4 linked regions of the Tamandua tetradactyla genome follow. The protein of the gene in region 3 purifies or fractionates together with the protein of the main gene of each other region. This does not show direct contact. Links are inferred from orthologs where the notes say so. Each region holds a gene or a part of one and is shown on either strand. Other genes may lie near its edges. The genes, in order: SON, SNRPB, SF3B1 and PRPF3.

The links.
Region 1: the proteins of SF3B1 (region 3) and SON purify together in Homo sapiens (co-immunoprecipitation; 3 studies listed by BioGRID and IntAct, with this or other methods). This does not show direct contact. The link is inferred for Tamandua tetradactyla from reciprocal best matches to the Homo sapiens genes SF3B1 and SON.
Region 2: the proteins of SF3B1 (region 3) and SNRPB purify together in Homo sapiens (co-immunoprecipitation; 4 studies listed by BioGRID and IntAct, with this or other methods). This does not show direct contact. The link is inferred for Tamandua tetradactyla from reciprocal best matches to the Homo sapiens genes SF3B1 and SNRPB.
Region 4: the proteins of SF3B1 (region 3) and PRPF3 purify together in Homo sapiens (co-immunoprecipitation; 3 studies listed by BioGRID and IntAct, with this or other methods). This does not show direct contact. The link is inferred for Tamandua tetradactyla from reciprocal best matches to the Homo sapiens genes SF3B1 and PRPF3.

What each region holds. Positions count from the first base shown.
Region 1 is NC_135336.1:93,913,215-93,920,820, reverse strand, and holds the start of SON (protein SON), read right to left. Parts: upstream 3,004-7,606; 5' UTR 2,923-3,003; coding exon 2,846-2,922; intron 1-2,845. UniProt on the Homo sapiens protein: RNA-binding protein that acts as a mRNA splicing cofactor by promoting efficient splicing of transcripts that possess weak splice sites.
Region 2 is NC_135327.1:24,251,602-24,258,579, forward strand, and holds the start of SNRPB (small nuclear ribonucleoprotein-associated proteins B and B'), read right to left. Parts: upstream 3,017-6,978; 5' UTR 2,877-3,016; coding exon 2,874-2,876; intron 506-2,873; coding exon 354-505; intron 1-353. UniProt on the Homo sapiens protein: Plays a role in pre-mRNA splicing as a core component of the spliceosomal U1, U2, U4 and U5 small nuclear ribonucleoproteins (snRNPs), the building blocks of the spliceosome.
Region 3 is NC_135329.1:171,669,636-171,677,416, forward strand, and holds the start of SF3B1 (splicing factor 3B subunit 1), read right to left. Parts: upstream 3,009-7,781; 5' UTR 2,861-3,008; coding exon 2,833-2,860; intron 1-2,832. UniProt on the Homo sapiens protein: Component of the 17S U2 SnRNP complex of the spliceosome, a large ribonucleoprotein complex that removes introns from transcribed pre-mRNAs.
Region 4 is NC_135330.1:5,492,099-5,499,593, forward strand, and holds the start of PRPF3 (U4/U6 small nuclear ribonucleoprotein Prp3), read right to left. Parts: upstream 3,008-7,495; 5' UTR 2,900-3,007; intron 2,884-2,899; exon of another isoform or gene 2,777-2,883; intron 568-2,776; 5' UTR 520-567; coding exon 375-519; intron 1-374. UniProt on the Homo sapiens protein: Plays a role in pre-mRNA splicing as component of the U4/U6-U5 tri-snRNP complex that is involved in spliceosome assembly, and as component of the precatalytic spliceosome (spliceosome B complex).

The sequences.
Region 1 (7,606 bases), on a different chromosome or scaffold from region 3:
AGAAAAAGTAATTTAAAAAGTTTCTAGGTTCACCTATTTTTTTAAATACAAAACCCCTAGAAATCTACACTGAGGCTTTTGGTTTACCTGTCTATTTCTATCAAGGGAGAAAAATTATTAAAAGCCAAATCAAAAGTTCAAAGAAAAATATTAACTTTTGAACATCACACTAAAAACTATCACAACAATAAAGCCACACCTGTGCATGAATCACAATCACCACCAACATCATGAAACACAAAGTTGGTCATGGGCACACTGAGTAAAAAGGGTGACTTACTTACAGTCTTTGGTTAGGTTTAAACTGTTTCTGAAATGCCAGGAAGTTTAAAAAGAAAAATAAATACATTTAACTTTCACCCAATTATCAAAAATCCTGGCATTAAAAAAATAATAATGGTGTTTAAAAGTCACATAAAACAAATGACGATTAATTAGACTAACAGCAAATGGGTTTATGTTTTCAATCTAAGGGCCAAAGGGCATTTTGCCCTAAGAATATGCCATTTACCTAGCCATTTTTACCATTTGTGTAAATTTACACAATTGTGAAAAATCAAATAGTTTCAACACTTTCAATATTTATTTAACTTCAATTTTAGTTAAAAATAAAACAATTATGCTTCTATACCTGACAAAAGTCCTGAATCAAAAAATACAAAATATCAGTAGGTAATTAGATGTTAAGGAACATTTGGTTTTCCAAAATAATAAATCATGTAATAATAATAATTAACATTTACTGACTGCTAAGTAGGATGTATCTCGCTGTTCTACATTTTTAAACTCATTTAACCCTAACAAACCTCGAAGACCAGCATTCTCCTGATGTGAGAAATGAAGAAAATGAGAGGAGAAATTTGACCAAAGGTCACACGACTTTCAAAGGTGAAGTTGGTATTCAAAACCAGGGCTGACTCTTAGCCACTGTCTCTCTAGAATAATAACAGAGCATATCTGAAGTATCTTCATGTCAGTCTCATTACCTACAGGATGCATGTAAAAGCAGATGGAGTGGGGGACCCAGTGAAATGGCAAATAATCCAAAATTCGTTTTTAGACTGATAATGCAATACATGTTGTTTGAGTGGAAACTGCATATTCCTCTAATAACAAAATGCTTTCTTTCTTCCCGAATCACTTAATTTCACACTATGCCCAAGTATTTATACGCAATTACCAGGATCTAAAAATCAGAGAACGCAACACTTAAACAAACAAAAAAAAATAGGATGGGGTCAGTCTATACGGAAATAACCATGACAGTGTCAAAGAGAAAGATACCAGGATGTTAACTGCAATTACTTTGAACTCATGAAAATCTTGAACAACTAAATACCCAACAATATATCCCTACAACACAATTCTATGCAGTGATGAAAAATGTTGCAAAATACTGAGACTGTGATAAAGGAGAAACTTGTTCACAATTCACTAGATGAAAAACCCACAATTCAAGATGATGGGACTTCTCAAAACAAATATATCTTTATATATATGGAAAGGAAAAAATGAAAGAACAGAAATAACTATGCGATTTTCACTTTCTCATTTGTTTTCTCAATTTTCTACAATAAAACACATTCCAATAGAAAAACTGACTTTTTTAAAACTACAAAAACGACCAATTAAACTAAGGAAACACAAGGACTTATTGTATGCTACTATAAAAAGTTATTGAAATTCTATTTCCTTAGGTCCTCTTCTCTCCTCATCCTAAGAATACCACTTAAGACGCAGTGTTATGAATAGACACATTTTCACTTTAAAAACAATATAATTCTGCAAAAATAAAAACAGCCTCAATAATCCTAAATTCATCTGGGCACTTAATTTACAGTTACGTTTTTGGCCGATTTTCAAATTCACATACTGCTCTTGTTCTCAACCTTAGAAATATAATTAGCAAAAATACACTCAGAACAACTATTCAAGATCTTTCCACAACTATACTTTGAAAAAATAAGTATTTTATACAAAGCGAAAGTATTAAAAGACAACCACTGAACATGACCCACGCTGTTTTCCTCTCTGAATAAACAACCACTTCTCTGGAAATCGCTTACCCTTCAAATTTCGTGAAACCAAGTGCAATTAAAGTCTAAACGGCAATTGCAAAGCACCGCGTAGGTCAAATATGTCAACAAGAATGGAGTAGTAAGAAAAACTAAATCTACACACAAAACCTGCCTGCAATTCGCTAAAATTTAAGAAATTACTGGTATTTCAAAGTCCCCTAACCACCCTCGTCCCGGATATTTTGACAAAATAGCTAACGAACTAATCTGAGCTATTTTAATGTAGATCTCTATCCCCTGTTGCCTGGTGGAAGCCACAGGACACTAAGGTCCGTATAACCTAACTAGTGCATCCCGGCCCCTAAACGGTCCGAAGCTTGAAATAATAACGTGGATTTAAGATAAACCAAAAAACGGCCGTTAGAGACCCTTTCCGGTCCTAGACACCGGCTGGCGAAATCGGCGGAGAGGGGGAGGGGAAACGCGGCAGCGGAGGAGGAGCTGAGAAAAAAACTAGGCCCGTCCCTAGTGGACAACCCGGCCTCCAAGTTGCTAAAGGGTAAGGGATGACCAACCCAAAGAGAAGAGCGAACATCTTAACAGGGCTCTCGACGAAGGAGTCTAAGGATACCTAAGAAAGGGTGAAGTTCCCCGCGGGAAAAGGAGAGACGGGATGGGGGGGCGGCGGAAAATGGATCCCAGGCCCAGGCGGGGCCGTAGCGGCGCCTGAGCAGACGAACGACGGCGTCTCTGAAGAAAGGTGCCGTGAAAAGCTACATCGGGCCCTAGCGGTCCCTTTGGAACAGAAAAGTCTGGGAAGCGTTTACCTGGACAGCTCCTGTTGAATTTCCCGGAATTTACTGACCACGAAAGACCTAAAGATCTGCTCGATGTTGGTCGCCATGGCGTCCGCTCCGTTCTCTCAACTCCTCCTCGCTAGTCCTCCAGGCTCCCAGCATGCCTCGGGAAGCGGCGCAGCGGCCAGTTCCGTCTCTCGCCCCTCTGATTGGCTCCTGTGGGAGCGTCCAGACGGGCGCGCTCCGACGCAGAGCCAATGAACGAGCACGGCTCCGCTCTCCTCCACTGTTTCTGAGCGGCTGGGGTAGAGCTGCTGACGTTTGCGCCGCGCACGATCGCGTCCGCCATGTTAGTGTCTGACGCAGGCGCCATTACAGGAGAAGCCTGTTTTGAGGCGAATGTGTCGGCTGAGGTTGTCAGTCCCATTATTCTTTAGTGGGCTTAATAGGCCTCGTGTAGCGACTGAACGCCCGAAATTTATGGCAGTGAAATGGAGGAACAAAAAGCAATACAGTGTTCTTGACAAAGGGCCTCCAAGCGTCACGGGGGCGCCAAGTTCAGTTCTGTCAGAAGGATACATCCGGGAAAGAACTACTCAGCCCCCACCCCCCTGAAGCATGATTAGAACGTGTTTTTACCCCGACTCTCTCTCGTTGCATGCTATAATCGGCCTCAATTTCTTAGCAATAGGGCAGAGGTCCTGAGCTACCTGTTTTTAGAGTCTGATACATTCCAGCCTCGTTAGGAGTCAGTGTGACGAGACTTCGCGGTAACTGGGCAGTCCAGACTCTCGATAGCAACATACAGTGAGCTACTCATTGGTTTAGCGTTCAGGAGGTTTCCCCTCCTCAGACCTCAGGAGGCACTCGGAGAGGAATGGAGACGTTACGTGGCACTCAATGTTACAGTATTACATGATAAGCCTGTGATGGCTTGGTGGCATTGGTCAGAGCTTAGGCCGCGCCCGAGGGAGGGGACCACACTTGATTACCTTGCACTGGGGACCCTGGGCCTGGCCGACCAAGAGGGGCGAGGCGGGGCGGGGGAGCGCGCGGGGCGGATCCTGCTCCGCCAACTTCCGCCACGGCGTGCGCCCGGGCTCAGCACGCCGGCGAGTGTGCGAGGCGGCAGCGCGGGACGTTTTTGTGTCGGTGCGTAAGCTCACTCCGTTTTTAGGTAAACTGCACTTGTGCTTTGATTTGGAAATTTACTATTAAGAAGTGAAGCTGTAGAAACTGGCTTGGCTGTAGACGTTTTCATCATTTTAAAACGCATTGTTAAAAAAATGCATTGGGTGGGTCTGGCCATGTGCTTTTCACTTATTACTATTAACAGAGGTTTACATTTGATCTATCACTTTTCCTACTTTCTGCGATGTGAGGGCTTTATCTTTTTGTGTCTTTATGCTTTTTTTAGGCCATAAGAGTAAGTTGATGTTTTTTGCCGTATTTCCCCGTTATGTACACTAGTGATTATTTACTCTACCTATGTAATTGGTTTCTTCTTTGTAATATTTGTCAGATCCTATGCAATAACTTCCTAGCTCTCTTACTCTTCTCTTCTAGTAAGTTTCTATTTTAGATATAAGGTGACTGAGACTCAAGAATCTTGCTTATTTAAGTCACTCACGTCTCCCAGGTAGGAAGGGGCAGAAGTTCAACCCAAATCGAGGTATATACCCTTGACTCTGGAATCAGGCTGTTTCAGTGACCAACTTTTTAGTAACTAGCAAAGTTTTCCTTCACTGCATCTCTCATTTAAACTAAATATGATATTTTATCTAGATTTAAATACATGTTTATTTCAGATGTCTTATTATATGTGGCAAGTGAAATGTCAATGTTTTCCATTAAACTAAAATTACTTTTCTCTCCTTCTGAAACTATAATATAGAATTTTTCTTCCTCAAATTTTCAGTGGTCACCATCTCAGTTGTTAGAGCATCTGAAGCAAAATTGCTTAAATTTCCTGAATGAGTCTAGAAATCGTGTTAAATGAAACAAGCCATACACTCAAAAAACAGACGTTGTATGGTTGCACTTACATGAAATATCTAGAATTTGCCAATTCATAAAGACAGGAAGTAGATTTGAGGTTACCAGGGGAATGTGGAGTTTCTGTTTTGGGTGACAACAAACTTCTGATAATGTATGATGGTTATGGTAGCATAAAATTTTAAGTGTAATTAGTGCCGCAGGTTCTACACTTAAAATTGGTTAAAATGGAAAATATTATGTTAACTATATTACCACAATAAAAATGTTTTTAAACTTTGCTTCAGTTGGTTTCCAGGCTTCAATCCTTAATTTGTGTGTCCTCTATAGATTACTTACCCTCACTGAACCTCGCAGTTCCTCATCTGTAGAATGAAGATGCTAATGGTTACCTCATATAAACCTTGTGAAATTGACGTGAGGTAATTCATGAAAAGCATTTATAATAGTGCCTGACACGTGGTAAATGCACACAAGAAAATATTAGTTTTTATAGTATCAACTTAGATTTTTCTGTAGATATATAATTTTAGCATATCATAGTAAGTTGATTTCAGTTTTCTGTTTTTCTGATATGAATTTGCCTTCTGCATAATTAAATGGCTTCAGAAAAAATACAGTGCCACAATTCTGTGTTGCTGAGTGCCAGAGATTATACTAATTTGATTATACATGTCATTTCAATTAAATCCTTATATAGCATTGTAAGGCAAGTTGTCGTAATTGCTGTCCTTTAAGATGTGAGGAAACAATTACAGATAGAGCTTAGCCAGTGTCACTCCCTGGAGTAGAGAAGGGAGCGTTCATGTCCATTCTGGGCAGATAACTGAAGTGAAAGGGGTTCAAATTTGATTTTTGCCTTCTCTGCCAATTTCCTAACATATAGCACTAATTTCTTAAATCATGGGTCAGCAAACTATGACTCAGGTGAGAAGTCCTGTCCACCAACCTTTTTGTACAGCCGTCAAGCTCAAAATGGTTTTTACATCTTTAAATGATTAGAAGAAAAGAATGTTGATTTTAATGACACATGAAATTCAAATTTCAGAGTCCATAAGTAAAGTTTTATTGAAACAGTCTTGATTATTCGTTTTTAATTTCTGATGGCTTCCCATTGCTTAGAGCCAGAATAGGTAAACTACAACCTCATTTTGGCTTGCCTGTTTATGTAGAATTAAGTTCTAGGGGAGCATAGCCATGCTTGTTCATTTACTTAAGGCTAAGACTACTTTTATGATACCATAGTAGAGTTGAGTAGTTGAACAAAGACCTTACAGCCCCTAAACCTGAAAATATTCACTACTGGCCCTTTGCAGAAAAAGTTTGCCTACTCCAGTCTTAAATATTTTTCTGTCAATGATAACTATTGGAAGATTTCGAGGGTTAAAAATGGTTTTTAAATTTTGTGTCTAAAATATCAACATTTGTTTTTCTAAACTGTGGCTTGATGATTATTAAATTTTCTAAAATTGAATCCCGAAGAAGTAAGATTGTTCTTAGGTAAGGAGGTAAAACCCCATTTCACTCCCTAACTTAAGTTCGTTAGGCCAGTCTATCTCATTTTTAAAATACTTCCTTTGCAGTTGTTAGTACTGTCATTTATCTCACCTCCCAATTTTTTATTCAAAAATGAATCTCTGGACTAAAATGTCATTTTTGTGAGTACAAACTACTACTTAACATCAGATTTAGAAATTTTATGATTTCTAAAGTGTGTGCATTCTGAATGTTAGCTCTGGTTTTCTTTCTGCAGTTTTCATTTGCCTTTTGAATTCCTGCTTTGCAGACAGCCATGTCAGCCCGTGTGCTGATAATTGGCAGTGGAGGAAGGGAACATACACTGGCCTGGAAACTTGCACAGTCTCACCACGTCAAGCAAGTGTTGGTCGCCCCAGGAAATGCAGGCACTTCGTGCTCTGGAAAGATTTCAAATACTGGTAACATGTTTTAAAGTGGGAAGTAACTGTTATTTGCTAACGATAAACTGATAACCATATCCAGGTTGCTGTTCAAGTTCTTCGTTTTGTCTGAATTGCTTTTCTAAACTCAGAATTTATGTGGTCATTTGAATACTTCCCTATAGTAGAAATGAGGTGTCCTATTCTAAATGCTACATTTCCTTATCTGAAATTATTTTAGGCCTATGCCTTATAAAATATATCCACTGAGAAATTAATAAGTGCCTAATATAGATTAAAAACATGTTGATGTATATTTCGATCACATCATTAATGCAGAGATGGACAGTGCTGTCAAATGTAAGTCCTGGCAATTGTAACTCCATAATAGATCTCAGCCTTTGTTTCTTCTGCTGGAAAAATGATCAGTTCATGTATTACCCTAAACTCTTGAGTAGCTTCCCTTAGCCCTTAGAATAAAACCCTAATTCCTTTGGTTCCATACAAAGCCTTTTGGGATCTGGCTTCGGCCTGCCTTTGTAGCCTGATCGTTTATGTCCTTTTTTTTTCTTTTCACTGTGCTCGATCCCTACTGTCAAGCCAATTTCCCCAACAGAGCTGCGTTGGACTGGCATCTGTTCCTACCCACTGGCATGGTTAATGCCTCATTATTCAAGTCGCAACTTAAATATTACCTTCTTAAGGAGGCCTTTCCTAAAGTTTCCAACTAAACAAGTCTCCACCCCATTTCATTGGTTTTCCTTCCTGAACCACTGTCTGTATTTATTTTTACTATTTGTTTTCTTACTTGTTTCCTATCTCCCATTTCCCCATGAGAATGTAAGCTGCATGAGGACAGAACTACCTCTCTTATTTTGCTTTGTGTCCACAGTGCCTA
Region 2 (6,978 bases), on a different chromosome or scaffold from region 3:
GGCTACAGCTTTACAAATAGGCAATGAGGCCAGAAAATCAAGCTCTCCCCCCTTACACACCTGTAGGGAGAACACGACAGCCCTTTACCCCAGTACTCAGGGGCATACAAGGTCAGAGAAACAAAAACCTAGCAGCCCTCCTCACAACTTTTATTTTGCTAGACTAGAACTCAGGCTTGCTGGGCGCTAAGGAAGGAGATTTCTTAGTGTCCAATAACCCCATTTAAGTCTGCCCTCTAAAATGTGAACGCAGGAAGAGAGGAACTGGCAAGTTATAGCAGCACCTGTCACTTGGCCCACCCATCCAATGTCCTCCGCCTCAACCTCCCCCTGCCCCACAGCCCCCTCCTTACTTGATCTTCCTGAACTCATCACAGTCACAGAGAATCAAGTTCATATGCTTGTCAAAAGCCTTGAAGGTGCCAATGAAGATGCGGCCATCTTGTAGGATGCACCTCATCCTGTAGTCGATGTGCTGCAGCATCTTGCTGCTCTTGCCCACAGTCTGCAGGGAGAAATCAATGGGGATGAGATTCAAGCTCTTTTCCACCCATTTGGTCCTGGTCCTTCCTGAAGCTGGGTCAGGCCTTCTTTTCTATGCACCTATGTTTCTCAATAGATTCTCAGCTGCCAGCTACTCATAGACCTTTCCCTGAATTCTCCCATCTTACCCCCGTTTTCAGCCCTGACCTATGCCCACTGCTTTGCTATTCTCCCCTCAAAGTTAATCTTTCTCATACTGCATTATTGTTATCAGAGTTTCAGGAGTTAGAGTACAGGATTGCCCAAACCAATCAAATCTACTCATCATGAGATTAATAATCTGCCACTGTGCAGATTATAGACTTGACCCAAGTGCTATGGAACACCCATATGATTAAAAAGACAGAGAGGGCAGTGTAACAGTGGCTCAGTGGCAGAATTCTTGCCTACCATGCTAGAGGCACGGGTGCAATTCCTGGAACCTGCCCATCCAGAAAAAAAAAAAAAAAGAGTAAAGAGTTGGAATAGGACTGGTGATAAAAAGGCTGAAATCCAATCAACAAGAAACTTATCACTAAGGAGTTCATCAGCGTGGAGGTTAGGAGTATGAAATCCCCAAGTGCTTCTGAGAGAGGGAAATTTTCTGGTAGCCAAAGCACTAATCTATTTGAGCACATAATGACCTTTGAGAATATGTAACTTGCTACACTTTATTTCTAAATTAACCCAACAAATTTCTGCTTTTTAACGTGACCTCCAGATTTCTTTCAAGAAACAAATGACCTGGTATTTGATCTGGGTATCTGTCTCCCATCAGTCTGATGTGGGGCAAGTCTGAAGTCATCCTATTTATTGGGTGTCTTCTTGTCGTGGGCACTGTGCTTGCTGTTTACCTGAACCCACACCAGGACAACGTCCTGAACCTTCTTACAAATGCATGGTTCAGAGCCTTGACTCCACCAAGGTACTGTGCCACCTGGGAGACCCCTGGTTATATGGGTCTGTCTCCCATACATAACCTTTTCAACTGGTTCTAATCACAAGGAGCTAAACCTTTATGGAAACATTCACCAGCCTTCTAACAGTTAATTCTTATTGGGTGTTCACTGTGTATTACATGCTTGATAAGCACTAAATATCTGTCAATTTATTTAATCCTCAAAATGATCCCCTTATTGTTTCTACTTTACAGATGAGGCCATCGAGGCTAGGAGAGGTTATGGTAACTTGCCTTGTCTCACAGCTGGGAAGCTGTTAGAACCCAGTCGGCCTGAATCCAGTGATTATTCATTTAACCAACTCTCCAAACAGTAACCGAGCAGGTTTCCCTGCTTCCAAATCTCACCCAATACAAAACAGCTAGAGTAATCTTTCTAAACACAGAGTCTAGTCATTTTGCTAGTTAAAATCCTTCAATGACATGCCCATCACCAACAGAATAAAGCAGCACGAAGGCCTTTAGTAACCAGGCTCCTTCCACGTCCTCCAGTCTCATCTTCTACCTCTTCCTTCCTTTTCCTCCTCCCCTCTCCCGCCCCGCCCCAACCCCCAGTAACTTTTAACTATGCTACCCTACATGCCTTTGCTCTTGCAATTCCCAGTCTATATAGTATTTCCTTCCATCTTCTGCTGGAAAAGATTCTGACAAATCTTTTAGGACTCTGCTCAGGAATCATCCATTCCCGAAAGCATTCTTACCCCGCATCAACCTGCGCCGTTACTTTTGCCTAACGCTGAACTAGTTACACTGTGTTATGATTATTTATTATCCGTGTCCCCAAGGATATGCGAACTCGGTGACACATTTCAATTTGTAGCCCCAGAACCTGAGAAGTCAGACACTCAGTACAGATATACTAAATAAGTGAGTTGAACTCCTCCAAATAATCTCATTCACTCTCCCGTTCCCTCTTCCCCATCCACGTCTCCCGGGAAGTATCTTTTGTTTCGGGCCACAACTCCCCGCCCTACCCCACACCGGACGCCGCAACTCGGTCTCCGCCCCTCACCCTCTTTCACAAGTCTGAGCCTTTTCCGCGGTCCTCCCTGGCCCACCTCCGGCTCCTGGTGCCGGCGCCGAAAGCCCGGACATATACTTATGCAGCAAGTTTACTTAGTGGCTACCAAGTCCCAGGCACTGTAGCTATAGCGGTTTCGGGAGAAGCGGTTACACGCTCCCCCCCACCCTGCATTCCTGGGTTCCAACTTTCCACTCCCCACCACGCCGAACTGCAGGCTCCAGGTCGCCTCTACCCGGTCCCAGCGGCCGCGGCTCGGGCCTTCACCGCCATTAGCAGATCCAACCCATGACTTCTTCCCCCCGCGCAGCCGCGGCCCTCACTCCAATACAGACTCGGAGACTCTCGCGCCGCCGGCCCGCGCCCCCTCACCATGGTGGCGGTTCCCGATGGTCCCGATTCCCGCCGGATTGGCCTCTGCAGAGGCCTAGACGCCCGACAGCGATCCGATTCCCGCCGCCGCTACAGGAAATGGAGCCGTTACTAAAATGCGGCCGGGTAGAAATGCACTTCCGGTCCCGGTACCAGGTGGCTGAGTTCCGGCTCCCGTGCTGCGCCGCGCGTTCCGGACGGGGGCGGGGCTTCAAGCTTTGGACTTCTCGGAGAACCTTTGAGAAGTTCCTGTTCGATCTGCCTTCCCCTTCTCTTTACGTAATAGATTCTTCCTACCTCTCCCTTCTCCAGACACACCTTCTCTGCCTTTTCCGTGAATTTGCTTCACGTTCTCTTGCCTTTACATTTGCTGTTGCGGCTGCCAGGGATGCTCATCCCACAGGCCTAGTAGGGGGCATGTACGTCAGCACATGCCCAAACATCCTTCACGCTTAAGCTCAAAGAAAATTTTGTCAGTAAGGACTTCCTGGGCCAACCTGTTTAAAAATACCTTTCCACCCATCACCTCTGCCTTATTTTTCTCCTTAGCATTTATTGCCATCTAACATACTATATATTTTTGTTACTTAGCTTACCCACCCCCATTAGAACATAAGCTCTGTGAGGGTAGGGGGTTTCTTTGTGTATTGTTCTCTTTGGCAGTGCCTAGAGCACTGCTTAGCACAAAATAAGAGCTCAATAACTGTTGTTGAATGAATGACTCTCATGCAGTCCCAAGACTGATGACTTTCAAGTGTATTCCTCTAACGCTGGTCCCTTCATTTAACTTTGGGTCTTTTATATCCAGCCTCTTGTTTGATATGGATGCCTAATATGGATATTAAGTTTAAAATTTTGAAAATTGAATTCTTAATTCTATCCTCTCTTCCTAGAATTAAGAATTCTAATTCTTAATTCTTACATGCCTCCCATCTCACAAGAGGCAACACCACCATTCACACAATTGCTTAGGTTAAAAAATCAAAATGACAAACTTGAAAGCATCTTTGACTCCTCTCTTTCTCTCCCACCTCATAATCAGTCCATCAGCAAATCCTGTGAGCTCTGTCTTCGAAATGTCTTGCATCTGACTCTCCTCACTCCCTCCACTGCTACCGCCACAGCCCTAGCCATTATCATCAATCTTGGATCGCTGAATGAGCCCCCCTAACTGGTCTCTCTGCTTTCACAGCAGCCTCAGGAATCCTTCTATGATAAACTGGGATTCTATCAGATTATTTCATTGCCCTGCTCTCCACTTCCAAATGACTTCCCAGTACATGTGCAATGAAATCCTGCTGCCTTGCTCTACAACTTCATCTCCTTCCACTTTCCCCTCATTTATCAAGCTCCAGCCACACTGGTCTCCCTGCTGTTCCTCAAACCCAGCAAGGAAATCTTGAGTCTCAGGGGCTTTGCCCTCCCCCTCCCACCTCAGATATTCCCATTGCTGGGGTCTTCACTTCCTTCAGGTCTCTGCTCACACCTCCTCAGAGAGCCTTTCCCTACCTTTTCCCTTGTCCTGCTTTATTTTTCTTTCAACACTTACCACTCTGTTACTTTATACACTTATTTATTTGGTTTATTGTCTGTCTTTCTCACTAGAAGATAAGCTCCATGAGGGCGGAGGCTTTATATCCCAATAACATTACCTGGCCTTAGCATATGCTAAGTAAATATTTTTGAATGCATGCATGGATGCATGTCTTCTAACACAGGGTGACTTCTGGGCAAGAGAACAGCTAAAGAGCCAGAAGGGCCTAGATTCCAGATCTGACTCTGCCACCTCGTGGCTGTGAAACCTTGGGCAAGACATTTCATCTCTGAGCCTTTATCTCTTCATCTACAGGTTGACAGACACAAGAAAACAACATGCCTCCCACAGAAGGTGTGAGAGTTAAATGCTCAGAAGAGTGCCTGGCAATAGCATGTATTTGGCAAAATAGCTCTTAATAGTAACTCAGAGGTCCCTGTATTGGCACTCAGTGTTTTTGACCCGTATTCCAGGTAGGGGTGAGTGTGTATGTGTGTTTTCAGCTTAACTTGGATACCAAGATACCACCGTGATTCACTTTTATACTCAGTCCCTAGCACAATTTCTGGTCCATAGGAGACAGCAGTAAATCCTACTGAATGTATGATATTTAGTCAAATGGTGGCTGCTTAGGAGATAGAAAGTGAAAATGATGGGTTGCAGTATAGTCTGGGACAACAGAATTAAACGTTTAGCAAATAGCCTAGTAGTTAAAGCATGGGCTCAGTGCTGGGTGACCTTACGTGTGTTAATTAACATCTTTATGCTTATGTAAAATGAAGATAATATTACCAACTTGACAGGCAATACTGGAAGGATGAAATGAGAGAATGCAATTAAGAAACCTAGTGCCATGTCTGGCATGGAGAAAGCATTCAATTAACCATTAGCTACTACTATGAAATTGTTGTCTATTGCTGTATAGCAACTTCCCCTTCCCAAACTGGTGCCTTAAAACAAAATTATATCTTATGATCCTGTGGTTGAATAGTGAGTCTTCTGTTGCTCTTACCTGGGGACACTCATGTGACTATTTGGCAGATTGACTGGAGCTGGATAATCCTAGTAGCCTCACCCACATCTGGTGTTTGGTGCTAACTATCAGTTGAACCTCTCTCTCCAGATGGCCTCTCATTCTCCAGCAGTGAGACGGTCCAGGCATCCTCACATGATGGTCTCAGGGCAGCAAGAGAGGCCTAGCCTCAGAAATTCTGCAACATCTGCCACTTCTTATGATAAAATCAGATTCCAAAGCCAGACCAGTTACAATGGAAAAATACTCCAGGTCTTGATAGGAAGAGCATCTGGGATGGGAGAGATTGGTACCACCATCTTTGCAAACCAAAAAGAAATTTAAAATAATTATAAAAACTTGCACTCTCACACAGTAATGTTAAGTAGTGGGATTTGAGTTCAGATTGGCATGTTTCCAGGTTCTTCTGCTGGCCTACTTGAAGGGGCAGTGGTTTTTAACAGTAATTTCCAAGGAGTAGAGGGGAGATACAGACAGGTCCTAGGTGGGCATATTCAAGTTTGGGAATGGGTCTGTAGATGGGTCTTGTATTTGGTTTAAAAAGGTTCCTTATATATCTCTTTGAGTGGTAAAGAAATAGCTGACAGTTTCAGCTAACCTCAGATAAGGGAATTCTCAGAACCAAAGCTGGTGTCAATTTATGCATTACTTCTGTGTGGGAGAAGTGAAAAGATTGAGAATGGCTATTCTCCAAAGCAATTTGCTGTATTAAAATTAAAGAATAAGGTACAGGGCTACATAAAAACACTCTAAACACAATGAGAATATGGATTTTATCCCATATATATATATTATGCATATTGGAAGGAAGAGGAACTAAAAAAGCACAGTATGACATTTACTAACAGAAAAAGACTATACTGTGAAAGAATCTTGCGCTTGCCAAGAATCCTGTTTTCTTTTAGGAAAAAAATGGATACAAAACTTATATATGCTTATTTTGCATATATAAGAAAAATATGCACCAATATTTAAATTTAGGTTAGAGCTGAATCACCATACCTGATTCCACAACCACTTGATGTCAGATTGTTCACGATTATTGTCTCCCTTCCCCACATCTGCTCTGTGACCCTCAGATGGCTCTCAAAAGGGCTCATTACACAAGGTATCAGCCTTGCTACCCTCCAGTAGAAGTATTTTGACAAGCTCTTTTGTCAGGTCCCCACACCATTGAGATCACTAAATCAAACATTTCCATACTAAAATTGACATTAATTTTTCACAATCCACGGCTGCTTTTCAGAAAACCCAGCAAAATCATAATGATAAAGACAATTCTGAAACTAAAGGTGAGGAAGAATGATGGTGAGCTCTGAGTGAAAGGTCACAGCTCAAAGAAGGGGACAGGGTATCAGGATGGTCAAATGAAAAGGCTAAGAAGGGGTAGGCCCAGAGACTTTTTTGGAGTGGAACGAGTGATGAGATCAGGAAGAATACATGAAACTACTTGAGTTTGAACTCCCCAGTTCTCCAAACCAATTGGTTCTCCTAACCAATCTGGCTGGGTCCTCTCTTACTAGGTCTTGTCCAGATGC
Region 3 (7,781 bases):
AAGTTATCAATTTGGCTCAGTTAAGTAATAGCCTATGAAAAGAGCCATGTACAAAGGCAAAAAATAATCTACTTGAAGTTACACACATTATTTATCTCACAGGATGAAAGTAAAAACTACTGTTGCAGCCACAGCTTTAAAAACAAATTACAAGGCACAACAATAAAATTGTTTTTACAATACATCCATATTATGTAGGATGAAAAGATTATACAATCTTCCTTTAAAAGGCAACATTATGGACAACTCTAAAACAAAAATTTAAACAAGTATTTTTTTAAAGTTGCTTTCTAAAATCCTTCTATCATAGTCGCGTTTAAGTCCAAGTCCTCCTCCTCTCAGTAGCCTTAAGATAGTTGCTCCAACTCCCTCTACATCATCCTTCATACAACCAGTTACCTTCCAAAAACACAAAAGTAAGCAGTTACACGGGAATGGGGACTGGCAAGGAGGGATACAGCACTTTATTTAACGGTCACTGGGAGGCCAGACTCAAACAAAGCCCATATGCTAACCTAACATTTGACACTAACCTAACCTTTCTTACTCTCAGATTAAGAGGTTCCCAATACATGTCTAAATTCAGCTTTCCCCCTATCTCAGCCAAACCAATGTGTCTGCCCCTTTCCCATGAAACTATCTTAATAATTACAGTACAAATCTCTAAATATATTTTGGTTTAATATCTGAGCACTCCTTTTATACTAGATACTTGGGATACTAGGGTAAGGTTCCTGTACACAATCTGAGTCAAATGGAAGAGAAAAACTTAACCCAACAGAATATTCAAATATAATTAAAGATACATACTGAGTGCTATGGTAGGACAAATAATTCAAAAATTAATTCTACTCAATGTTATCTGAGATGGCTTAACAAGTGAAAACAGAAATGGACTATGAACTAGAGTTCTCCAGGAAAATATGAAGGGAGCACGAAGTTAAATAAAGACTATGCTTTGCTATTAAAAACCCCTTTGTCTTAAACATAGCTACTTCCTCTATTAGACTGCAAGCTCCTAGAAGGTAGAAGACACATCTTTATTTTTTTATATTCCACAGTGACAGGCAATGCCTTATACATAAACAGTACTCAAACGTTAAACTGAATGTTCCATACTTTCTTTGTGGCATCAGATAATTCACATTTTATAGAAAGAATATTCCTAAAAAAGGAATTTTGGTCAGTGAGTTACAATCTTTCATGGACCAAGACTTTTAGGCGGTTTTCTAAATTGCAGGAAAGCTGGCTAGAACTTTATCAATCTTCATGCCTAAGGGTTATCTTACCATGAAGATACCAATATACAAGTAATAAAAGCCACAAAATGCCCCAACTGTATAATCTATTCTTGAATGAACAAAAATCATTTTTATATTTTCCAGTATCTTACAAAAGATATGTTTTTTTAAAGACAAGAGAAATACCTATAAACATGTCTGTACTACAGCAGTGTTTAAATCCTAAATAACAAGAATAGTAAGCATTCATTAGTATGTTTCTTAAGTTGCAGAGAGCTGGACTTCGTTTCCTTGTAGTAGCCCAACAACTGAATGCTATTTACATACTGGACCCAACTTACCTATCCAGATTCATCTTCTATTTCTCTGTTGCACTCTACTTTTCCTGGCATAGCAGACTACTCAAAACACGGTTACCCATCAGGACAGTGCCTTGTTACAAAATGTTCTGAGGCTCAGATGGCCACCCTAATATAAAACTGATTGATCTTCCCAAGACTACGGACAAATAACCATAAGCATAAACTTTTCATTCCGTTCTGTAGATTCCCCAGACTACTTGTACTTCTCGTTAAGCATTCACTTGGTCTCATAAACAGAATGTACATGGATACACGTCTCTTTCCCCCACTGGACTGTAAAACAGTTGATGGTCGTAGTCTTCAACTCTCACAAACTAACAACACCAAGCCACACATCTAAAAACAGAGTGTGAAATAAAAGTGACTCTCTTGGAAGAGTGAAAATACCAGATTCCACGTAAAAAATCAAGGAATGCAGCTCCAACTTCCCACGTCTTTTCTGAAAAGGAACCCCATTTCCTATAATATCTGTACCTGCTCTTAGTACTCACTAACAGACTCCTGCCTATTAGCAACATGTTCCTAATTTCATATACTCCGTATTCCATAAATCAACTAGTTTGAAAGCTTCGATCATCAATAAAATTAAAAGCGACTTTCTCTTGTTCCTCTAGCTCCGCAAACACGAATTTCCAAAGAAAAAGACCAATAATACACTAAAAGTGAACAAGGGGAAAGTACTATCATTATTTCATTCCCAAATCACTTCGTACAAAAAAAAACAAGCAAGTAGCCTAGAAGCCTGCAGATACACATACTATCCAAGGTTAAGAGTAATGGGCCTTGGTTTAACCAAACCCAATTTAATACTGCTATAAAAGAGGTTGCCATTTTTCAATGTCTTTCTGACTCTTCCTATGTATAAATTGCGCTGACAGCACTTCCAAACGGCGAGACTCCCAGGCCCATTTCCCGGATCCCCTCTTGCCCTAGAATCCTCTTTAGTAGACCGTTTAAACGAGGCCCACTGGTCAAAGAGGAGAAGCAACGCTCCAGGAGCAGCACCCTAACACGGAACAAAGCGCTTGTCTGGAATGTTTAAGTAGGACGCCATTACACAGAGCAGAGGCCTGCATCGCTGGAGGCGACCTAGGCCACAAACCGCAGACTCGGCCTCCTACTAAAAACAAACACACACGCATACACAGGAAAAGGCAGAAACCTAGGAAGACAGACTGTTAGCAGTCTAGGTAGCGGAAGAAGTCCGTTAGCAAGCAAAGATGGCTTACCTTCGTGAGTCTTGGCGATCTTCGCCATTTTGTCCACTCCAACACACAGACGGAACTGGCGCTCCCAAGAACTTCCGCTCGTCGCCGCACCCACGGAGAAAAATAGCTGGGAGTTACTTTCTGCGCAGGCGCCAAACGGGAGCGCGCTCGGTTGGGTGACACGTGATAGAGCAGCCGCCTGCAGGGAGCAGCGAGGCGCATTGTGGGTGTGGGAGGGGCCAAGGGTGGGCCCTGAAGCGGGTCTATTGTGACCCGCAATCGTAATTGAGTAATTTTGTCCTAGGAGAAAGTGCCTTCCGCAAAGCAGTTAAGAATATTGTACGGAATATTATGGTGGATCTTTCTCCAATTCAGTAGAAGGCGTCTTGGAGACCGAGAAAAGCTTTCTTTAGCATTTGTCTCAGCTTTTTCGAGTAATTACTTATGGAGACGATCATAAGTCTTATTCTTCGCGATATAATTTAAGACCATTTTTTTTCCTTTTTTTTTTTTTTTAAATAATTGCCTCTCGTTTGGGTAGCAGTTCCGTTACAACATAAGCTCCCAAATTACTGAACCTCAAAAACAGAGCAGTCAAGTAGGCAAATTGTCGCTAAACCCACTTAAGAAATGAGAGAAAAACTAGAGTTACAAAATAGCAGTTGTGCACCACCATACAATTTCTAAGTTGCAGGCAAGAACCTTAAAACGCTTTTAAAGCCTTTTAACTTTATGGGTTCTTAGAAAAACTTTGATAGTCATTGTTAACAACGTTGAAATGCTTCTTTAAATTTTAAACGTCCTTTCTAAATCAGCAACTTTTATAGATCATCTTATAGCGATCTTTTTTTTCTACTGTGACTGAATGTAACAGTATAACCTCGTATTGTCACGCTGACCTTGGACTTCAGGGTTGGAGAAGCAGAGCTCAGAAGGGAAGCTGAGTCTCTGGAAGCAGGCTGGTAAAATAAGTAGGGATCCAGATTAGAGCTAACACAGAGGAAACAGTTTACCTCACTGTATAAGAGATTCAAACTTCAGTTTAAAAAAAAGGGATTTTTATTAATATCAATGTAAAAATTAAGTTTATGGATTGAAAATTTTCAGTTATTTAATTTTCATTGATTATTAGGTTAAACAATAGTTGGGAGAGGCAGACGAGTGAGATAAGAGCATGTGTATAATTTATACAAATTATTGGTAAAATTCCAAGTTCTTGAGTTGACAGAATGATCTGTGAATATTCATTATATTATTATGCTCTATGACCTATTCGTAGATTACATATATCATTTTGTATATGTAAAGTAGTATATTTTTAAATAATAAAAAATAAATGAAAAATTGGAGAAAGGGTTATTATCCATCAAAAATCAGCAAACAAATAATTCATCCATGTTAACAAAAAAGAATCACAAGAACATTGCATTGCTCATGTTTCTAAAAAAGAAATTTGTTAATGCTGGACGACTTCAGACGTGTAAAAATATATATGCAACAGAAATTTACCACACTATATTAACAGATAGGTGTTTATGAATGGTGGGATCATGGCTAATTTTTTTCTTTATAAAATTTAGGGCTTTTCCCATAAGCATTTATTATTTTTATAATCAGAAAAAAAGTGTTAACAAAATGAAAAGCTGCTATAACGTGGATATCCCATGTCCTTCCTTATCTTTCCAAGGTAGAGAGAAGCTGAGTTTACTGGCACTTTGTATTATGTGCATATTTCTCTGGGTTCTTAAATTTTAAGATGCTTCTGTATGGTAAAGACATATATAAGATAGTAAAATTTGAAAAACTTTGCCAATGATCAAGGGAGACTTCTCTGGAGGACACTCTAATTTTTGACACTCTAATTTATCTTCAATGACATAGCGAACTGAACATTCAGATAGTAAGGAACAAGTTAAGTTTGTTTTTCAAGTCTTTTCACTTTCCATTTTTAAAATAATATTAATATATAATAATCAGATATTACGCACAGTGGGTTGTCTCCTCTGGTGAGATTTTTTTTGTTTACAAGTCAGAGAGAGTGATCTAGCCCTCCTTTTTATAACTTTATAACTTTAACAATTAACAGATGACATCTGTGCTCGTTTGAAACTATTAGGTACCCCAGAAAAGCTGTTTTAATTCTGATCCAATCTTGTCAGACCTATTGTTTAGTATGGGAAACTTTGAATTGTTTCCATGGAGATGTGACATGCCAGTTTGGGTGTGGCCTTTTGAATAGATGGAGATGTGACTCCACCCATTCAAGGTGGGTCTTGATTAGTTTACTAGAGTCCTTTAAAAGGGAAAACATTTTGGAGAAATCTAAGATGCAGATTCTTGAAGAATATTTGCTTCAGAGCTGACACAGCCAGAGATCTTTTGAGATGCTTAGATGCTGACAGAGAGAGCAGATGCCTAGCCACCGGAAGAGCCCAGCAGATTTCCCCACATGCCTTCCCACAAGATGCTAAGCAGGCCAGAACCAGAGTTGTGTCCCGGAGGAGCTAAGTGAAGGCCCACACAGGCTTAGAGAGGAAACCACTGGCATCAGAAGCCAGAAGCAACAGAACCAGAAGCAACAGAACCAGAACAAGGACCAGCAGATGCCAGCCACGTGCCTTTCCGGCTGACAGAAGTATTCCGGACCCACTGGCCTTTCTTAAGTATTCTTAAGAAAGAATTCTTAAGTATTCTCTCTCAAAAGAGAGAGAGAGCTACAGAAGCAAGAACGTGAAATCAATAAAACTCAAAAGAGAAGGAAGAGACTAACAGATATTGCCATGTGGCAGAGGAGCCAAGGATCACCAGCAGCTGGTCTTCATAAAGAAAACATTACCTTAATGATACCTTGATTTAGACAAGTTTCCAAACCCTAACCATAAGCAAATAAATTCATTTAAGCCAAACCATTTTATGATATCTACTTAAAGCAGCTTAGGAAACCAAAATAGCAAATATCCATTTGAGTTCATTCTTTTGATTCTTTGGGGTATATACCTAGAAGAGAAATTGCTGGATCATGTGGTAATTCTATACTTAACTTTCTGAGGAACCACGAAATTGTCCTTCACTACAGCTACAACATTTTGTGTTCCCATGAATGACTGGGTCTTCCTATTTCTCTGAATCCTCTCTAATACTTGTAATTTTCCATGTTTTTAAAAATAGTAGCCATTCTAGTGAGTGTGGAATGGTATCTCATCATAGTTTTGATTTGCCTTTCCCTAATGGCTAATAACGTTGAACATATTTTCATGTGCTTTTTGGCCGTTAATGTATCTTCTTGGAGAAATGTCTATTCAAGTCTTTAGCCCATTTTTTTAAACTGAGTTGTCTTTTTGTTGTTGAGTTGTAGGATTTCTGTATATAGTCTGATATTAAACTCTCATCAGATATGTGGTTTCCAAATATTTTCTTCCATTGTGTAGGTTGTTATTTTGCTCTCATGATGAAGTCCTTAGAAGCACTAAAGTTTTTATTTTGGTGAGTTCCCATTTACTTATTTGTTTTGTTGTTCATGCTTTGGGTATAAAGTCCAAGAAACCATTGACTAACACAAGCTGCTAAAGAGGATCCCTCTGTTTTCCTCTAGCTGTTTTATAGTTCTAGTTTTTATATTCAGGTCTTTGATCCACTATTTTTTTATTACAGAAGTTTTGGGTTTATAGAGTAATCATGAATAAAATATAGAATTCCCATATGTGCTGGTTTGAAACGATTATGTACCCCAGAAAAGCCATGTTCTTTTTTCTAATTCAGTCTTGTGGGGGCAGACCTATTGTCTGGGTGGGATCTATTTGATTAAGTTATTTCTATGGAAATGAGACCCACTCAGTTGTGGGTGGGGCCTTAATCCACTTATTGGAGTCCTTTAAGAGGGAAGCATTTTGGGGGAAAAATTTCAGAGCTGACACAGACAGAGATGTACACAGAAGAGATGTTTGCAGATGCAGAAAGAAAACACCCCCAGGGGAGCTGTTTGAAATCAGAAGCCACCATCAAATGGCAGCCACATGCCTTCTCAGCTGACAGAAGTGTTCCAGATGTGATCAGCCTTTCTTGAGTCAAGGTATCTTTCTCTAGATGCCTTAGTTTGGACATTTTTATGGCCTTAGAACTATAATTTGTAACTTAATAAACTCCTTTTGTAAAAGCCAACCCATTTTTGGTATATTGTTTCCCAGAAGCATAAGCAAAGTAAAACACCATATCTTCCCTACAGTTAACACTTTGCACTGATATGGTATATTTGTTACAATTGTGAAAGTATATTTTTATAGTCATACTATTAACTATAGTCCATGGTTTAACTTAGGGTTCACTATTTGTATAATGCAGTTTCAAGGATTTTTAAAACATTTTGACCTATTACCATACATAACCTAATATTTCTCCATTTGTCCACATTAAGATATATATTTCAGCATTGTTAATTATGTTCACAATGTTGTATTACCATCCTACCATTCATTACCAAAACACTTCCATCATTCAAGATAGGAACTCTGTACATTTTAAGTTTTAAATCCCTGTGCCAGTTTGAATCTGTGGAGGACACCAGAAAAGCCTTGTTCTTTAATCCTCATTCAATATTGCTGACTTGGAGCTTTTGATTGTTCCCATGGAGATGTGACTCACCCAATTGTGGGTGGTAACTTTTGATTAGAGAGAGATGTGACTCCACCCATTCCAGGTGGGCCGTGACTAGATTTTTTAAAAGAGGAAACATTTTAGAGACCGTCCCTTTTTTAGAGCCAGAAAAATGATGAGAGCCAGAGCCCACACCACCAAAGACCTTTGGAGATAAAGAAGGAACACATCCCTGGGGGAGCTTTATGAAATAAGAAGCCTGAAGAGAAAGCTAGCAGATGCCATGTTCACCATGTGCCTTTCCAATTGAGAGAGAAACTCTGAACTTCATCAGCCTTTCTTGAGTGAAGGTAACCTCTTCCTGGTGCCTTAATTTGGAC
Region 4 (7,495 bases), on a different chromosome or scaffold from region 3:
ATAGTAGGAAAATTACCATTAAAATCTACCTCCCTCAACTTTCTTCATGCATTTCATAAAGACTTCTAAATGTTTAGATGTCAATCTGACACTATATTAATATATTTATCTAACTTTAGTATATTTCCTAAGTAAATATAACTTAGGGAGTCAGTCTGAGTTTCAAAATATACCAAAAATAATATATAGAAAGTAAGCAAAAGAACAAAAGCAAAATTAGTTATTCAGGCTATTTCAATATAAAGCAGGAGGGAATAAAATGTGGCCCGACCTTTTTTCAGATGATCCCAACAGAGAGAATTTTGGTTATGTTAGAAGCAATGTTTAAAGGGTCATCCTAAATGTTAGGTCAAAAGATTCAGAAAGGTACATACCAGCTGCCTTCTTCTTATCCATGCCCTTTCCCACACAGTTCAATGCTGCTGTGACCACTGTGGGCTCTGAGAAACCCAGCACCCTCTTCACTGTCTTCTCTATCCATGGTTTCAGCTCATCCAGCTCCCTCTTAGACAGTGCCATTCTTTGGGAAAAGTAGAAGGATAGATAAAATAGAACTTGATACTGCACCTAAAAACAAATCAGGAGAGTGGTTAAGACAGAAGATAGGAAAAAGTTAAAGTGACCCAGAGCAATGATTAATACATCAGGAAAGCCTTTCCCACCCATATTCTCAATCCTTAAGGAGGTTCCTCCAGTTTATTCAAAGTAAAATACTTTCCCCAAGAACCACACTTCAAAGCAGAACTAGATTCCATTTGATTATTATTTTTTTTTTTTGGCACGGGCAGGCACCAGGAACCGAACCCGGGTCTCTGGCATGGCAGGCAAGAATTCTGCCACTAAGCCACCATCACACCACTCTCCATTTGATTTTTAAACCTAACTCAGTAATTACCAGTGGATCAATGAACTCTGTGAAAGAAGTCAACCAACCCTGGGAATAATCTGGTCTAAGAAATGAGTTCTAGCTTTGTTTCCAATCTTGTCTTATCAACAAGGCCTGGCAAACGTATAACATGAAAACTAAACTGACAGACTCTATCCTGAAGTCAGCTTTTCTATTTCTTCTACTTCCGGGGATGCATTCCCTAACCCAATCCTGACCCATTAAAAGTTTTCTTTCTCTTAAGGGATGTCAATAAGCATTCCTTAAGAAATGACAAGCAAGTCATTTGGTACTAAAGCTCATAATCCTTAAGAACGTTCTGTCTCATTTCTCTGTAGTTATATTCATCCCTGTGGGAATTCTGTACCCAGATAACCAGTTCTCTCTCACGTTCTCTGACTTGATAAGAGTAATCCATCAGCTCAGAAAAGAACACCTTCATTCTGGATATACTCTGACCTTCTCCCTTTTCACTTCTATTTTTTAGCTCAGCAGAGAAACACTATGATAAAGGACTCTCAATAAAAAATCTTTGTATTTGTTATTTAATGCTAATTAGTGTTACTTTAAAACATTATTCATGTTTACATGTTGGTTTATCTAAATCTCAAAACTTCTCATGGGCATAAACAACATTTTATTTCTCTGATTTTTCTCTATAGTGCCTAAAAGAATAAATCACACTGATCTCAATTTCCAAACTAAACTCCTCCCAGCAGTACCATATATCTGGGAGTCAATCTTTCAAGATGTTTCAAGACATCTTTTCTCCTAAAAGACAGAGTCTGATTAATTTCCACATCCTTGGCAGGTTTACCCTCTGTAAGACCTATTGTCAAATAGTGAATTTAATTTTGGTATAAATAAATAAAGCTAGTAGAATAAAAGAACGAAAGTAAAGTTGAAGGTTGTATTAAAAACTGACTATGTTTCTCACTGACAAGTTAAATAAATAATTTATGGTGCTAAGTGAAAAAGCCCTACTGTCCCCAAATGAAACAGGCTTATCAATCTCTACATGTTAAATATCCATTACTCTAAATAGGCGTATTCAGGACTATAGTGGGTACACAACTCTGGCAACAAGAGCTCAAACAGGATAGAAATAAAACTAAAGAATTTGGACATCACCCTGCCCTTTACCAGCAACCTTGTGCAAGTTAATGAATAAAGCTAATTAATTTCTCTGAGCCTCAGTTTACTCCTAAACTGAAAACTGCCATATCTACAATGCACTTAATTCATTCAATAAATATTCATTGAGCAAGTACTATCAATCAGTGTAGTAGGCACTGAAGATACAAACAGCAGTAAATAAAACAGACAAGAATCCTCACCCTAACGGGGCATACAGTCCGCTAGAACTGAATCATGGACGAGAAAGTGGAAGCAATTTGAAAACACAAAGCAATAAACGAGGTACCATCATGGGTGCCCAAGCACTATACTAACAAACGCATTCAAGTTTAAACCGATCTTTCTTAAGATAATGTACAAATGAAACAGCTAGTGGACAAAAATTAAAATATTCAAATAGTAACTAGCTTTGTCACGAGTCAAATATCCAACAATAACTGCGTGGTGGTGGGGGGAGGGTGGAAGAAGGAGGAAGGCAGAATGATATCTGAATGGGCAGGCTGCAGAATTCAATCTTCCGAAAGAATTCCTTACTCCGTGCTCTTCTTTGCTAGAATCCGAGTGACCCCCCGGAAATCCTCATTCTTCTATTTTTACTCTCTCCTCTTCTGGCTTTAACTCCAGCCGACAACCACCAACCCCCCTTTTCCTTCCCAAACTCCTCACCTCATTACTAGTCTCCCACCCCATCCCCACCCCGCCCCCGCCCTGTTCCTCTCAACAATCCCATTTCAACCCCTTCTCCCACGGAACCTTAAACTTCTTCCAGCCTCCTTCCCATTGAACCCTCCCGTTACGACAGTCCCAGTGACCAAGCCCCGGCCCCAGTCGCTCCGACCGCAGGTTGCCACCTCTGGGCCCTGGGCTACAACTCACCTCACAAACTTCAGCCCCTGAGACGGAGCCCGAACGTTACACCGGAACCGGAAGCCCTCGGACCGCCTTACGGCCCGCCGTCCTTGCCGCCACGGCCGCCGCCACGCCGGCCCCCAGCACGTGACGAGGGAGGGGCGGGACTGTGGGTTCGCGCAGCCGTAGTCGCCACGTTCCTGCTGGTGTCCCTCATGTGTAGAGGGGTCCGAAAGGTCCTGCGTTCAAGTTCCCCGCGGTTTGTTTTCCCGGCTAGAGAAATATTAAGCAAATTGCTACAAAAAAGTTGGTGTTCCCCGAAGCGGAAATTGGGTTGCTAGCAGTTTTCCTCACGTAGAGAATAAGTGCGATAAACTGCAAGTGGAGCTTCTGCGTTCGAGCTCAAACACGGCCTTTCTGGTAAAAAGTAAAACCCTGTAGAATAAGTAGCCATTACTGGCATTTGCCACCCCACCCCTCCCTCAGCCTTCGCTCCCTAACTTAAGAGTAATCACAGAAATCACCCAGGAAGAAAAAGAGTATAGGAGAACTTTGGAGAAAATAGCCCACACCTCGCCCCACCCCCAGCTTGCCTTTTCGTTGATTCATTTATTGACGGAACAAATACTTATTCACCGCCTACCACCACGTGCCTTGCACCCTGTGAGAGTTAAGTATTGCTTAGCGACTTAGTAAGAGCACACGTTCTAAAACCGGACTGCCTGGACTTGAACTCCAGCTCTCCCACAACTGTGTGACATTAGGCAACTCGAGCCTTCTTTTTCCCCTCTCCTCACCTGTAAAATAAGATACTTTGAAAAATCCAAACGAGAGCCATTGATTGCACACTTGGATGGGTTGTATGGTGTGTGAATAAAACTTGGGGAAAAAAATCATAGGGCTGCTCGGGGGATCACATTCGTGGATAAGGGTAATATAGTTTAAAAAGTGCCTTCCGCAGTTCAATAAACGGTAGCTACAAGCCGTGAAACAAAACAGTATATCCAGTAGCCTGCATAAATATATAACAGATGTCTTAACTTTACCACCAAAACTGAGCTCCTGATTCTAACCCCCCATCCCCACCTACTTCCTCATCTTGGTTAATGACAATTTCATCCCTCTAGTGATGCAGGCCAGTAACCTTGGAGAGATCATGGAACCCTGTTTCTCTCCAATCCATCAGCAAATTCCACTGGCACTACCTTCAAAGTATGTACAGATCCACCTGCTTCTCATTACCTCCACTACTACAGTATTAGTCCCTGGATTAATATTGTAGGCTCTGAATCCCTTTCTCTTGCTTCTACAGCACAGTGATCATATTTACACATCAGAGAGATCTTATTACTCCCCTATTTAAAAACCATCCTGTGGTTTTCCATTGTCTCTAGTAAAATGCCCTAGAAGATCTGCCTCACTCCTTACCTCTATTATTGCTCTTCCCTTCACTCATTCAGCTTCAGAGTTCTGACCATTTTGCTGCCCCTTGAACTGCTAAGCATAATCTCACCTCAAGGCCTTTGTACTTGTTGCTTTCTTCCTAGAGTGCTCTTCAGGTGCCTACATGGTTTGCTTCCTCATCTTCAGAATTTTAGTCAAATGTTACTATTACTATATAATTTACTTATTGTTTATTGCTCATTGTTTGACTCCCTCTACTAGAATGCAAACTCCATTAGGGCAGGGATCTTTGTTTTGTTCAGTGATATATCCTAAATGTCCACCATAGCACCTGACACAATTAAGTACCTAATAATTATTTGTTGAATTAAAGGATGAATCTTTTCCAGCAATGTCTTGCTTGCCTCAGCGCCTGCTGAAGTTTGGTTTTTGCTTTCTAAAGGACGGAAGTTCCTTCAGGGCAAGAACTGTTTCATATTGTCTTAGGATCTAGAATAGTGCCAGACCCAACAAGTATTCAATTAATGAGTTAGACATGGCAATGGCAGTATTGCTTTCCACATTTTATCAGGAAGTTTGTATTCTTCCCTTTCTTCCAAACAGAGCTCTGATCCTCTAAATCTCTGATATCAAAAAGCATGTTTGCAGGCAAAGTATAGTTTGAAAAAGTGTGTCCAAAGTTATGACACAGTTTCATATGAGAAATGGGGAAAAAATCAGTTATGTTTTAGATTACAAATGACAAAAACCAAAATTCCATGATGTCTTCTTGGAATAGTAGTTTCGCCGGAAAATTAGTATTTCCCAGGAAGCATGGAATTTCTACATCAAATGACTGGTTTTAAACAGTTGAAGAAATACATGCCAAAACCCACCTTCACTGATAAGAAGGCACGATACAATGGGATAAAACCCAAGTCCCAGCTTTGCAGGGTTGTAATGAATCTTTAATTTTGTTTCAGTGCTCTTAACAGTCTGGGTTCAATTCCCCATAAGGAAAAGTTTTGTGGAAATTGATTTTATTTACAATTTTTGGAATCAAGATGGTTTTAAACCCTTAGTTTCCCAATTGTTCCCAATCACTAGCAGTGATTTCTTGGGGTAATTTTTATAAGACTGTTTCCTCAATCATACAATGAGAATACTATTTTCACTGTAAAAGAGTACTGTGAGGATTAAATATCACATAAAAGATACATGTAGTACAATGCCTGACACATAGTAGGATTCAATAAATCATTGCTAATTTTTTATATACTTTCAAGAAACATTGAGCATCTAAATGGGCATTATACTAGGTAATGGGACTAGAGAGGTAAAAAAGATGAAGATGCAGCCTCTGGGGAACTGAAAGTTAATAGAAGGAGAAAAACAAGAAATAAAGCACAGTATAGCATGATTATAGAAATAAACTGTTATTCTAGAAGTAAACTTATCAAGATACATAGAAGGACACCTGGTAGAGGGATCAGGGAAGGCATCTCGGAGAACATCCAAACCAAAAGTTGATATACAGGGGAAAAGGAGAAAACAGTATATGCCATGATCCCAAAGTGTGTTTGAAAGGGACAAATGGAGAGAGAGAAAAGCTGGGTTCAATCATGAAGGGCCTTAAAATCCCCTTTGGATTTTATCTTGAAAGCAATGGGGAACCAATTACCAGCTTAAGCATGAAAGTGACAAGAGCAGTGTTACAGTTTAGAATAATCATTCTGGCCAAAGTGTGAAAGGAATGGAACCAGACAATGAGGTAGGGGACTGATCAAATGGCAGTTGTAAATATATAGAAAAGTTGTGGTGGTAGCTGGGATCAGGGTTTTGGCATGCGGTCATAAAGCACCAGAGAGGACTGCGATTAAATGGATGCTAGGGATTGAGTGAGGAGGAATAAAAGATCAGCTTTCTGATTGGCACAGCTGAGAGATTAATTGCTAAAATTTATTGAATTCTTACTGTGTGAGATACTATAATAAGTACTTGACAGACATCATCTCATTTAAGCCTCACCACAAACCTGTAGGTACCACTATCTCCATTTTACAGGAAAATCAAGGACTTATGTTAAATAACTTGACAAGATCACTGTTGAATCCAGATCTTTTTGACTATTAAAAGATTATGTATGACCTGAGACTCAAGAGCTCTGAAGCTAAGAAAGTCAGCAGTACCCCATACAGGGACTGTTTAAAAAGTTGAAAAAGGGATCAGACTTTGAGTAGAGATATGAAGGAAGCTATCTGGACAGGATTAAAGTAGAGCAGAATACAGGGTAAAGGATGAGATCATCCATATTTTAAAACTTCAGGTTCTGTGTGAGACCAAAGGGAGAAATGTTTATTTAGTACAAAATTTAAATTTTTGGTAGCACATTATAATTTAACATGTATGGTCAATTTAGTTGAACACCATGCATACATGGAATCTTGAATAGGGCGTGAGATTTTTTTTTTTTTTTTTTTTTTTTTTTTTAAAGAGAGAGGGAGGAAAGGAAGGAAAGATGGAAGGAAGGAAAGGAGGAAGAAAGGGAAACATTTTTAAACATTTTCTTGTTTTATTATATTTTGTTTGTTTGTTAGTTTTTTACATGGGCTGGGGCCGGGAATCGAACCGGGGTCCTCCGGCACGGCAGGCAAGCACTCTTGCCCGCTGAGCCACCGCGGCCCGCCCCAGGGCGTGAGATTTTGTTGGTTTGTCCGGGTTAGTGTGATGCCCCAATATATCCCAGAGTAATTTGGGCAGTGAATAAAGAAGTATTTGCAAAGTCTCCTTGGGGCACTGGGGAGAAAGGGGGAAATATTCAACTTTCTGATTTGGAGAATTTCTGATATTCTCGCAAGCAATGGGGACAACTAAATCGATAGGCCGAGCTCTCGATTTTGGGATTCACCCTTATGAAACATTCCTTCAAAGGATAGGCTAAGCTTACTTAAAATTAGGTCTAAGAGTCACTCCCAGAGGTTCCATGAACTAGGGTAACTTTCCGGAAACTTACAACCTCCAGATGGGTCCCCGGACCAGATAAGTCCTGAAACCTAGAGGGCCCAGCCTCTCCAGAGCATCAGCTAGTTCTATCTCCCTACCCCATATTAGTGACAGCCCCTTCCAACATGAAAGAGTTAGAATGGCCGTAGCCCAAATATCTCTAAAGATGGGATAGAAAGATCAAAGATGATGGTGGTTGTTCTAGTTTGCTAGCTGCCGGAATGCAACACACCAGAG